2 linked regions of the Neurospora crassa OR74A genome follow. The protein of the gene in region 2 purifies or fractionates together with the protein of the main gene of each other region. This does not show direct contact. Links are inferred from orthologs where the notes say so. Each region holds a gene or a part of one and is shown on either strand. Other genes may lie near its edges.

Region 1 (5,812 bases), about 1.4 Mb from region 2:
GGGTCATGGTGTTATCTACTCTCTTCAGACGGCTTTGTAAGTCAACTCGAGGCTCGTGGAAGGCATCAAGTAACAAACTTGCATGCCGTATCTGTCTGGTTCCTGTTCGCTGAGCCCATTCACCCATGTAAGAGACAGCAAGTGCTGTTTATAGATTGAGCCAATGCGCCTTGATATGCCTCTACTACACGTCGCTGATGCTCGATCCCTTTGCCATACCTAGGAGTGACAGCTGCTGACGTATGTTCGTCTACTTTGTACAAATGCGATATATGTGTAGCCACAGTAAAGTCCGTACGTAACTCTTGGTGCCACCACTTTCCCTTCACCCAGCCTGCGTGAAGACTTCGGAATAGAAACACAAGGAAGACTTGGCGTTGGACATGACAATCATTATTCGTCCCCATACATAAGTCTAAGATGAGAAGCCACACCCCATAATTCAAATTGCCCACCGGCTAGTAGGACTCAGGTGAGTGACTCGAAGTGCAATGGGAACAGAATCGAGAAGAGAAAAGGGCCCCGCCATTTCCGATCGGGGAACCAAACATTATCATGAATATTTTCTTTTTCCAGCAATGAAATAGAGAACCTCCTTTCTCAAACATCCCTCATTTTGATGTAATAGGCGTATACAAAATTGGGGTATACAGAATTATATAAAGACAACATGGAAAGTAACTTGATTATAGACGTAGTGTCGCCATTTGTCGGCCAAACCGCCTCTAGTTGCTGGCGGCGTACCGTGGAGGGCTCAACACAACATTAACTTCGAGCGATCGAATAGAAACGTCGTGAGTATCGTGTCGTTCGCATCAGGGTTTCAAGACTGTAGGTGATGTGTTTTAGAACTTGACCTTCTTTCCGGTCAACTTGAACCAGATCCAGCAAAGGAGGTCCTCCTTGAATCGTTCCCACAACGACCGGTTGAGGTGATAGCTCAGCTCGCGGAAGTTGTACATCTCACCCCAGCAGTCTCGGCCCCATTCACATCCGGCCATGTTGACCAGGAAATCCCGATCCTTCTGGTCGTAATGTATGCGCGGATCAGTGCCCTTTTCAGAGCAGGCGCCTGTAGGGAAACTGTTGATCATGCGCTGCGGAAGGAAGGCCGTACTCTTCCGAATCCAAGGTTGCGCAGTGTAAAGCTGCTCCAAGGCATCTTGCTCCTTGTGTTCCCACTCCATGTGCTTCTGTTCGTATGCCACAGGATCCCACCAAACATCAAGTAAATGATCCGTCCAAGTGCCGCGGCGCATGAAGAAGGAACCCAAATTGAATCCAGAGCAATCCTGCGACAACATGAGGTGAATCGAGTTCGGGTTGCCATCTCCAATCGGACTTTTCGAGAGTTCGTCGAGGTAAGGGTCGGCCGGGGGGTGAGAGATGTTCAACGGATTGTACTCATTGATGTCGCGGTAGGTGACATCCTCGATGTGGTCGAAAATATGGTCCTGCAGAGACTTCGATGGCTCCATAATGAAGGTGTTGAGGTCAAGCCACCAAACCCTGGGAGAAAATCAGCCACGGATCACATCCAGGAAGCGACAGAGTGGGAACTTACCATTCTGCCTTGGGATACTTTCGCAGAGTGGAGCGGATGAAATCAACCTTTTCCCAGCTCTCGCGCCATTCATGCGCATAGCGTTTCTTTGTGCTCATGTCGACAATCTCGAGATCGTATCCCCACTTGGCAACGTATTTCTTCTTGTTGCGAATCGAGTCCCTCTCGATTGCCCATTCCCTGGCGCCCTTCCACTCCATGACACCACCGCCAACGTTGGCAGCTAGAATGATGACAAACTTTTGACCCCCACCAAGCCATGATGTTCTTCGGTAGTAGTAAACCAGAGCTTTCCAGGGTGTCAGGTCACTGTATGATCGATCCAAGGTGGGGGGTTGCAAAGACTCACGAGTGCTGTAAAAGATGATGTATCCGAGCAGGAACAAGAGGGCAAAGGCTAGCAGCATCTTGGTCCTCCTGCTCATCCTCCCCGTGATGCCTCGTATCCTGCCGAGTCGTGGCATGTTCCATCGACCTTGGCCAATCTTCTCTCTCTCGGCGCCATGGGTGTTGTCGGCCTTGAATCGGGGCAGCGAACTTGATATCCGACGCATGTGGCGGCTAAAGAAGCCCTGGTTCTGTGTCGAGAAGGACTGGTATGCGGCGCCGCCCATGTTTTTTTGCCTTTCCCACATGACGGGCGTCCCGTTGGATCCGGCGTAGGCCTTGGTAGGACTCGATCGACCGCTCGGGCTGAGGTTGTTTGTAAGGCCTGGACTTGCCCAGCCACCACCGGGAACGGGAGAAGGACTGCGGGACAGCGACATTGCAGTGATCGGGGTGCCTAGAGCAGACGGAAGGACCAAGCGACAGTCAGTAACACGCGGATGACATCGGACAAGTGCCCAGCGGCCAGACGGGTGAAAGTGAGACGGCGGCCGTGAGACCGCTGGTGGCAGTCACGGGCGTGGGACAGGGCAAAAAGACAACAGGGGAAGAACACGTACCCGGGATGGGCGAGAGGCTGTTGGGGTCGTAGTTGCCGTGATGGGGCTCAACCCCAAGGAGGAGGCCCGAGGGAGATCGGCGATTGTCCAATCGGAGTTCGCTGGGAGGGTTAACGGCGGACGACCGTCTTCGGTGATGGGAGCGGGCCGGAGGGTCGCTGTAGGAGGACGAGGTCCCGTTGCCGTTGGGGGAAAGGGTCGCCAGCTTTGCGGATTTGCGACTTCACCAGGTGGCACTATGGGCCCTCTGGTGATATCGCGCAGGGGTGTAGGGGGGTAGCTGGGCTTCCTTGCCGTGGAGGCTCAAGGGCCCAAGCCAGAGGCTGACGGACGGACTGACAAAGTGACGGCTGAATCCACGTTGCAACGGAGGGCCGCCTGACTCGAGATACGGTACGTCGGTACGTAGCGGTTGGTGGTTACGGTGGGCTGGCTGGCCTTGGTGGCTGCGCTGCGTACGGTCGGATGGGTGTCCGTGGTAGTTAGGCTCTACCCAAAGAAGGCAGACTGCGTGTACTGTCGAATACTGAATGTGCTCGTGCGGTACAACCGAGAGGATCTGGTCGTCCAAGAAGGGGATGTGGACGGATGGGGATGGGACAAAGGGGACCAAGGACCCGGTGTGTCTTGGAGACGTCCGAGTTTCGGGTTGGGGTGCAGGGCGCGCAGGCTGCTGTTGGAGGAAGAGACCCGGCGCCTGTGGTGGCTCTGGATGGTAGGCGGGTGCTGCAGAAGCGGCACCTGGACACGATATGCCAACCTTGAACCCAGCCGGGCAGCTGTTGCTTGAAGATGCCCGGATTCCCTTCGGCTGTATGCCGGGCAGATGTCGTTCAGTGGATCGCTCGCCGCGCTCGATTACCTAACGGTTGCTTGGATTATGCGTCGGTGTCTTGGTGGACGGGAAGAAGAGGTAACAAACGAGATCTTCAGAGACAACTCAACGCAGATTGTTTCACTAGGAGAGTGAATCTCTTGACCGTTTCAGCTATGGAAAAATTCCAGTGACCGTGGGCTAAAAATCACTTTCAGATGAAGAACAGCCCTGCCCGTCCACTAAATGGCCAGCGTGGACAAGCGTGTTTAAACCTTCCATCCTCCCCAAATTCATCGCGACCCCCCGGCCGTCCCCAGATATTCTAGGGGCTTTCTCCGTCAACAACATTTTTTTTCTCTGTTTTAGCGGCCAACTTTTCAACAGCTACCCACGCCAAGATTGCCCCGACACATGCAGGGCACCACCCAGGGCCTGTTCACTGCGACCCCTGTCTATTTCTTGGAGTCTAGGTACACAGTACACTACGGTCCAGGGTGGTTGCGACTAATTGCGACACCTGGACGGTGATGGCATGCAATTTCACCTAGAGCGGGAATCCTTAACACGTTCTGATAACGGCTCGCGGAAGGCCCAATCCTTTTCCTGAATGCCTTCACCGTCTTTAGACTTAAATTTTTCAAAGCATGGAAAGGGGGAGCAGACGCTAATGTTGAACAGGGATGTCGGGCGTGGACTTGACCTGCTTTCGTTGGGTGCCTTGCAGCCTTCACGGTACCGGCGGGCAGTACAAGCGCATTGGGCATTGGACCCCTTCAACTCTCGGCTTTTTTTTTTTTTTCTTCCTCGACAATCCTGGGGCTGTACTGTAGGTAGTGTACCTGACGGCTCTGCAACAGAACGCAGGAGCTAATGACAACGTTCCAATCCAACTCATCAAGCGCTTGGGGGCAGCAACTTGGGGAATTTGAGGGAGACCTTCAACTTCTCCCGAAACCGTTTTGCTGACTGATTTTTTTTTTCTTTCAAAATCCCCCTCTCAGCCCGGCCAAGGGCACTAGTTACAGAAAAATTACCGGATGTGGGACAAAGTACAAACATGTTTTGGCTTGCAGTCTTCGGCCGATTGCGCAACAGAAAGCTAATTGACCAACCCCCCCTGCTTGAGATGGTTATCTCTTGGCTCTGATCCGGCGCTACGGAAGACTGACGCGGAGTTGGTTCGCTGGGCGAACTGGGCGATTCTTTTGCCCCTTGTCTAAGCCAGAGCCGAATAATGTTGCGGGTGATGTGGTGATGTTCGCAATTTAAAGGGGGTCAAATCTCCTTGTCTCCCCTCCGTTGTTTCACCATTCTAGCACCCGCTCAAACCTGGTCCTCAACGGAGATAGAGGTCATGGGGGTCTGCACTTAATGAACGACTATGGGGTACCCCACGGCACGCCATCTCGATCCCTACCTAAGATGATGCTAATGACGATACATTTTCTGGATGATAGGTGGTAACCTATGGCAGAAATGGCATCTCGACCTCCAGATGTCAACTCATATCGAGGATGGCTACGGTACCCATGAACCTTTAATGGTTCACTGTGGTGGCGTGTAGCAGAACATCGCTGGTAACCTACCATCGGCTACTAAACTTTTAGCATTATCAACGGAGATGGCAGACCAACTAGACGTACTCTCGTAGGGGCCCCACGATAAACTGGATCAACTGGCGGAGTGATTCCTGACGATCCTCCTTTTCTTGACCACCCCAGGTGTCCTGGTCTTGAATGAGAGGACGCTGGAGCTACTCGGTAGGTGGCAATCTTTGCTAGAAGCTTCAGAACACTGATCATAGTCTTCAGCCCCTGCAATAAGAGGAAGCCAAGCTCATGGCCTAGCCGCCCTGATGGTTGGACAGTTTGTTTGTTAAACACACATAATGGATGTGGAAGAACACATGTCCATCTTCAATATCCATGATGCAAGTCTTCTTCAATATCAATTAGATCAAAGCCACCAAGATCAACCGCCGCCATCTATTGATACAGCAGAATCGACAACATACAATCCATAAAGGTTTGTTAGCGCAGTTCTTGTGACAGGGTCTACAAAGTCTTACAGAAAAACAACGTGACAAGGACATTCAATATGAAAAATCAAGTAGAGTTTGTAAAGCCTCCAAAACGCAACTTAGTAGTTGATACCAACTTCTTGCACATGAGAAGTGGTGGAACGGTGGTTGATTACGAGGAGTGTGTTGTAAAGTCCCACGCTAACGAACCTTTCTAAGGAGGAGAAATACTTACCTCTAAAATACAACTACAGGTTCCTCCTGTCCAAAGACAAGACGTTTTTCAATGAATCAACTGGAAATTATCATATGGCTTTCACAATGCGACCAAGACATCATTCTATGTTAGTCTCTATCACATGACCTCCAACGACAAGCTTCAGCGGACCCGCCCCACAATTATATAGGTCTCCTCTCCTCGAACTTTTGTAAGAGGAGGTCTGTTACGGTTTTGCGCGAAAACG
Region 2 (6,033 bases):
AATCTCCTGTATGTCGTGTCCTCATCTCGAAGGCTCTATCAAGATCTGAAGTCCTTTACTTCTTCTGGACTGTCTTTTTCACTCCTTCCACAAAGGCCTCGACAGCATCTCCGCCACCTAGAGGCACCATACCGCCCCTGACCATACCACCATTTTCCACTTGGATTCCCAACGCAGCAGAAATGTTGGGGAGTCCTCCATCCCGAAGAGCGATTGTCAGACTGGCAAGGCTCTGGGTAAACTGAGGGCTCCGGAGAACCTTCTTCAGAAGCGCGCGCTTCTGATCCTGGCTCATAGCCTGCCGAGCGGCCTCAACAGACGCGGCACTAGGCTCAACCTCGATGGCATCAGTACCGCTGGCACCTTGCTGAGACATGACAATGACGGTTGGGGGTAGATAGTTCAAAAGGTTGTCGACATATTCGTCGGTGGCGGAATCAAGCATCGGAATCGTAACTGAGGATTCAAGAAGATCGTTGAGTAAAGGGTAGGATTTGCCTTGGGCTTGGGCTTGGCCTCCGGCACGCCCTTGGGTGCCTTTCAGGGACTCGAGGAAGTTCCTTACAACGGCAGCCGCATCCGCCTCGGCATTCGTAGCATTTGCCCTGTCAACGAGAACTATATTAGCACATGTAATGGCATCGGAGACGCAATTTTGCGGAAAGCAGAGGGACGCCATGTGCATGTCAAATTTTAGTGCCTCCATCTAGCAAGTAACAATACAGTTGCACCGTTCTTGTTGCCCTCTGCGCCATAGCTTGCTCATGTTTGGTTGAAGTAGATCAAATGATGTGCGCGCCAAAGCAACCCAAACTCCCAAAACTCATGTGACGGGAAAACAGCACCTACGCTCTTGCTCCATCTGCTCCTCCTTCTCTGGCGTCCTCGCCCTCCCTCCTGACATCACCACCAGTGGCGTCGGGACCAGCGCCGCCAGTACCGCCCTCGTGGTGGGCATTGGGGTCTCCGTGGCCCTCGACGTCTTCCATTGTCTCGTCGTCATCATCGTCTCGGCGGTTGTTACCACCGCCGCTGCTGAGTGAAGCAAGCTCCCTGTTCACATCCACCTCGTAGCCCTGCAGAAGCTTGTCCACGATCTCTCCAATCTTCAGATCTCTTGGGCTCAGGAAAGACGGGTCGCCGTTAGGACTCTGAGGCTTCGATTGCAGCCAGAAAATATGGCGCTGTGATGAGGAAGAGAACTTGAGCGAGAAGATACGGCCGTTGGTCTTGGCGGAGGCCTGGGCAGGAGACTTGGTGTCGTAGGGAAGGAAGTGTCCGTCCTCGGGGATCATGACGAGGTCGAGCTCGGGCTCGTCCGCAGGGGCATCTCTAGGGCGCCAGCAGAAATGGATGAAATCTGCAACATGAAATGGTCAGCTCGTGTCACGGAAAGGAGTCGGCTCCCACAGCACTAGCTGGAGTTCATGGTCCACATACCATCGTCGGAGTAAAGGTAGATGTAGCCGGGCCTGGCTTGGGGCGTGACCTTGTACGGCTTCGACGTTTGCTGTGGATATGAATGTTAGTTTCGTTGGAATAACCAGACTAGTCGGCGAGGACAGGCGACAAAGTGGCCGAGAAAAGTGGATGTCATGGTGGGCGGGGGAAGCTGGGAGGAAGGGTGGTACGAACATCTACGTCGCAAATGCCCGCCTTGAACGTAATAATGGGTGATATCGGCATGGTTGATGCGCGCGCTGGTGTCGGTTGTGGAAAGCGTGTGTGGCTAGGTGGGAAATCGAAGCCGGCAAGGGGATGTCAGGTCAGAGTAGAAACAGTCGGCTCGATGAAGCTCGGATTTCGTGGTTGATGATGTTGCTGCTTCGAGGTACGATAGAGGCAATCCGCAATGTGAGCTCGGCACCTGGAGCTAGAGGCACTGGTGCAAGGCTACAGTTGCTCTGACGTGGGCTGCCGATGCCGCTGAGGTGCCGTCACCCAGGACAGCTGCTGGCCGGCATCCCCCACCCTCCCCCTCTCCATCCCGTCCCTTCTGCGCCTCCAGGGCAACTTTGACGGCAGATGGCGTTCCCAGGTCGCCCTGTAGCCTCCACCTAAGGACTAGATGTACCTACATACCTACCTAGAGGTAGTCTAGAGGGTCTCCAATCGCTGCCTGTCCCTCCGCTTCGCCTAGCAACCTACCTAACGAAAGCCCCCGGCTTGGAGTTGGAGAAGTCCAGTTGCAGGCTGGTGGAGTGCTTCGTACGGGATCGACGTCGTTGCTGCCACTTCGGTTCTCACTTTCCTTTCCACAGTTGCGCACGACCAAGAGTGTCGCCAGTTGCCTTGCCACGATTGCCAGTCGCGACTGAGACCCGAAGCTGTCCAAAATGCTGCTGGAGCGACCAAAGCCAGCGGACAGGAATTGCCTGTACCGTTTCAGATTACATTGACCCATGTCAGCAGCCATTGGGGTTTCCCGGTTCTGGCACGGCGCTGCACTGAACCCCCTTTCCCCATTTCTGGCCACTGCATTTGCGGTTTGCGCCTTGTCTTCTTTCCAGAAGCCCAATTTTTCCTCGTCCCCTAAATTCCCCCATCCCGCTCGAGTTGCCAATGCCCCTGGCCGCCCCTCGACCCCGACTCGATTGAGTGGCCGACTAAAAAAGTGTCCAGGACAACACCGACACCGGCTTCGACAACCTTCATTTGGCCGACGAATATATACGCGTAGCTCCCATTATCGCGTAGGAAGCTAGGAGCAAGAGCGCTACAAACAGTGCTATAGCATTGTCTTTTATCCCCACAACCGAAAGAGACCACGGCCATACACAAGAAGCCAACCACGGACGACGGGAACGCGCGCGCCTTCGAACCCAGACGACTATATGATTACTTCTCTTTGATAGATCCTCCAACATCCCATGGCGCGTCCATTGGGGCCGGTTCGTCTTAAGAGGACGAGCCCGGGAACGATCGCTGTTGGCATCGTCCTCGTAATCGTCATCCTCTACCTTCTAGTATCCCCCTCAGCTCCCGACTTCTCTGCCGCTCGCAAGGCCACAGCCGCGTTGCATCCTCTCTCTCCGCCGACATCACCATTCCGCAAGTCAAGCGCTGTCGGCGGCAAAGCAGGTCCTCCACCAGTAACACGCTACAACCTCAACAATGTCACCATTACAAACGACCCCGTTGGCAACCGCGAGAACGTCCTTGTCCTTACGCCCATGGCCCGCTTCTACCAGGAGTACTGGGATAACCTGTTGAAGCTCTCGTATCCCCACGAGCTAATCACACTGGGCTTTATTCTACCCAAGACCAAGGAGGGTAACGCGGCCACCATTGAGCTCCAGAAGCAGATCGCAAAGATCCAGAAGCATGGACTCGAGAAGGAGAGGTTTAAGAGCATCATCATCCTACGACAAGACTTTGACCCGCCCATCCCGTCCCAGGATGAGAGCGAGCGCCACAAGATGGCAAATCAGAAGGCACGCCGGGCTGCCATGGCCAAAGCCCGCAACTCGCTCCTCTTTACGACTCTCGGGCCCGACACATCGTGGGTGTTGTGGTTGGACGCCGACATCATCGAGACACCTCCTACTCTCATACAGGATCTTGCCAGCCATAGCAAGCCGCTCACGGTGCCCAACTGCTTCCAGCGGTTTTACAACGCGGAAAAGAAGGCCATGGACGAGCGGCCCTATGACTTCAACAACTGGCAGGACAGCCCGACCGCGCAAGAGCTGGCTTCTAAGATGGGCAAGGACGACATTCTCCTCGAAGGTTACGCCGACATGGCAACCTACCGGGCCCTGATGGCTTACATGTATGAGGCGGGTGCGGATATACACACCGAAGTGCCTTTGGATGGTGTAGGAGGTACGGCGTTGCTGGTGAAGGCCGAGGTGCACCGTGACGGAGCCATGTTCCCCGCGTTCCCCTTTTACCACTTGATCGAGACGGAGGGCTTTGCCAAAATGGCCAAAAGACTGGGCTGGCAAGCAACTGGTTTGCCCAATTACAAGGTGCGTCTTGTGTGTGCTGTGCGCCATGTCAAGGTGGGATACGTCGGACTAACACTGAAACATTAGGTTTATCACTACAACGAGTGAAACATTTGCCGGTATCGAGTTTTACACCGCGTATCCTAAGCCGCCACTGGACGCAATAACAGTCTCTCTTTGACGATGACAGCGTAGTGTCTGGGCCTTCAGAGATGACTACTCAACCTTTGTCCTATTCCTCATTCGTCCTCGAGCTGCCTAAGGCCATAGGCAAGAGTCTGGCTAGTAACAGTGGAATTTTCTGCCTTGGAGATGTTCAATTTCACAGCATCCAGAGTTGCTAGGCCCAGCAACTGTGGCGTTCTTCTAAGTTCTTGTAAATTTTTTGATGAGTTCTGGGTTATGGGAAGGAATGTGGGAAGCGAAAAGTGCACAGCTGGAGGGCGCGGTTCAAATACACGTCTGATGTGTGATGTGCCAGACGCAACCTTGTGTGATGATCAAGGTTGTCTGCTCGTTGTCGAGAGAAGAGCTCTTTGCTAACTCCAAAAGCTCTGAGCGACCGGGGCAAGGAATCTTATAACAAACCTTATCTGGTCAAGTTTCCAAAGACATAGGGTACAGCGACGACTTCTGACGATATATACTAGACTATGGGCGAGGAAACATAGGGGACTTTTGAAGTTCATCTTTCCTAAACTAATAGCATAATGAAAAGTAAGGGGTTGCGGTTAGGTTCCTTGCTGGCATCAAGTACAGGTTGGTATATCGCTCTGTTCTGTTCTTTTGTGACTAACAACCGTAGCCATTTTCTAATACAGTAAGCATAGACCATCTCCGATGATTTGGAGCGATGTCTCTTTCTTTTGTATATACATAGTAAGGAACCATGACCAGTCACTGCACAAGTGTCCAGTTGTTGTGCATCTCTACAAGTTCATACATGGCAGCAACGTGGCTGTGGCGAGTACCAATACCACTTGCCCCTGATATCTAAGCGTATATCTCAGGAATGATCTATACCAAGCCCACAGGCGTTGGCTGGCATGTTGGAAGATTCGCTACAACAGCAACATAAGGTCTGGAAACATGAAATATCATCTGTTGCCTGGAGGGAGCAGAGCCACATGACATACTCATAAGCGCTCTTCGTATGTAAGAGGCTTCCACAGCCCGCTTGAGCTACTAGCCAAAATAAATCCAATGGTCTATTTCCCATCCCACGGCTATCCAATCCAGCCCCCCCCCCCCCCCCCTATACCCTTTCTTTACATTCTCCCCTCCATCCATCCCGTACATTCTACACCTCTATCCCTGCCCTCTGCCCAACTCTTTCAAGACCCCTCATACCTCTCTTCCTCAACCCACAACTCCACCAGCCCTCTCGCCGCCACATGATCCCCTTGCCTTATAAGCGCCGCGACATCCACATTAAGCGGACTGTCAATGCCTGGACAGCTCAACAACAGCCTGATGGCTCTCACGCACTCCAAAACGCTGTAAGCGGGCGTCCATGCTTCTTTGAGCAAGTCCAGACAGATCTCCCCCGTGGTAAGGGCTACGTTGGCGTGCACGATGGGGGTGATGAATTTGATGGTTGGTGGGTGGAGGGGGTAGGTCGGTGGGAGGGTTATGTGGAGGAGCCAGCGGCCTTCTGGAGATTTGTGTGTGTTATCGTTAACAATGGAGGCTCTTTTGGGAGAAGGGGCGAGGTAAACATGAAAAGGGAAAGGGGGATGGATAAGAGGGAGGGAGGGGAAAAAAAACCAAAGATAAGAGACATACCATCATAACCACCACCTACCCCCTTCCCGTTAATCACGGCCTCCCAAATCAACAACTCATCGTCGTTGATGGGACCTAACCGCTCGACGCCCTTCTCTTCTTTGGACTCGATGTTGCTCCAGGTCGTGAGCTCTTTGATTAGGCGCTTGGCTGCGCTGCGGTTAGACATTGTTTATATATATGTGTACGTCTGTGTATGCGTGTATCCTTGTCTGTGGTGTATGTAACGTATACTCCGGTTTGTTTGTTCTGTAGCGCTTTGTATGATAGTTGAGTGTCCTCTCAATTTGGTAGGGAT

Evidence for each region. Proteins that work in one complex are often made in the same cells at the same time.
Region 1: the proteins of NCU02635 (region 2) and NCU03055 purify together in Saccharomyces cerevisiae (affinity purification with mass spectrometry; 4 studies listed by BioGRID, with this or other methods). This does not show direct contact. The link is inferred for Neurospora crassa OR74A from reciprocal best matches to the Saccharomyces cerevisiae genes MNN9 and MNN10.

Annotation. Positions count from the first base shown.
Region 1 is NC_026501.1:4,355,114-4,360,925, reverse strand, and holds NCU03055 (alpha-1,6-mannosyltransferase subunit), read right to left. Parts: upstream 3,544-5,812; 5' UTR 2,512-3,543; intron 2,349-2,511; 5' UTR 2,332-2,348; coding exon 1,914-2,331; intron 1,854-1,913; coding exon 1,565-1,853; intron 1,510-1,564; coding exon 846-1,509; 3' UTR 85-845; downstream 1-84. UniProt on the Saccharomyces cerevisiae protein: Required for polarized growth and efficient budding. The M-Pol II complex possesses alpha-1,6-mannosyltransferase activity and is probably involved in the elongation of the mannan backbone of N-linked glycans on cell wall and periplasmic proteins.
Region 2 is NC_026501.1:3,003,181-3,009,213, forward strand, and holds NCU02635 (mannan polymerase complexes MNN9 subunit), read left to right. Parts: upstream 1-2,272; 5' UTR 2,273-2,870; coding exon 2,871-3,971; intron 3,972-4,037; coding exon 4,038-4,058; 3' UTR 4,059-4,717; downstream 4,718-6,033. Other genes in the region: NCU02634 (hypothetical protein), read right to left, coding at 56-605, 850-1,360, 1,441-1,510, 1,636-1,686; pex4 (ubiquitin conjugating enzyme), read right to left, coding at 5,285-5,604, 5,736-5,904. UniProt on the Saccharomyces cerevisiae protein: The M-Pol I and M-Pol II complexes possess alpha-1,6-mannosyltransferase activity and are probably involved in the elongation of the mannan backbone of N-linked glycans on cell wall and periplasmic proteins.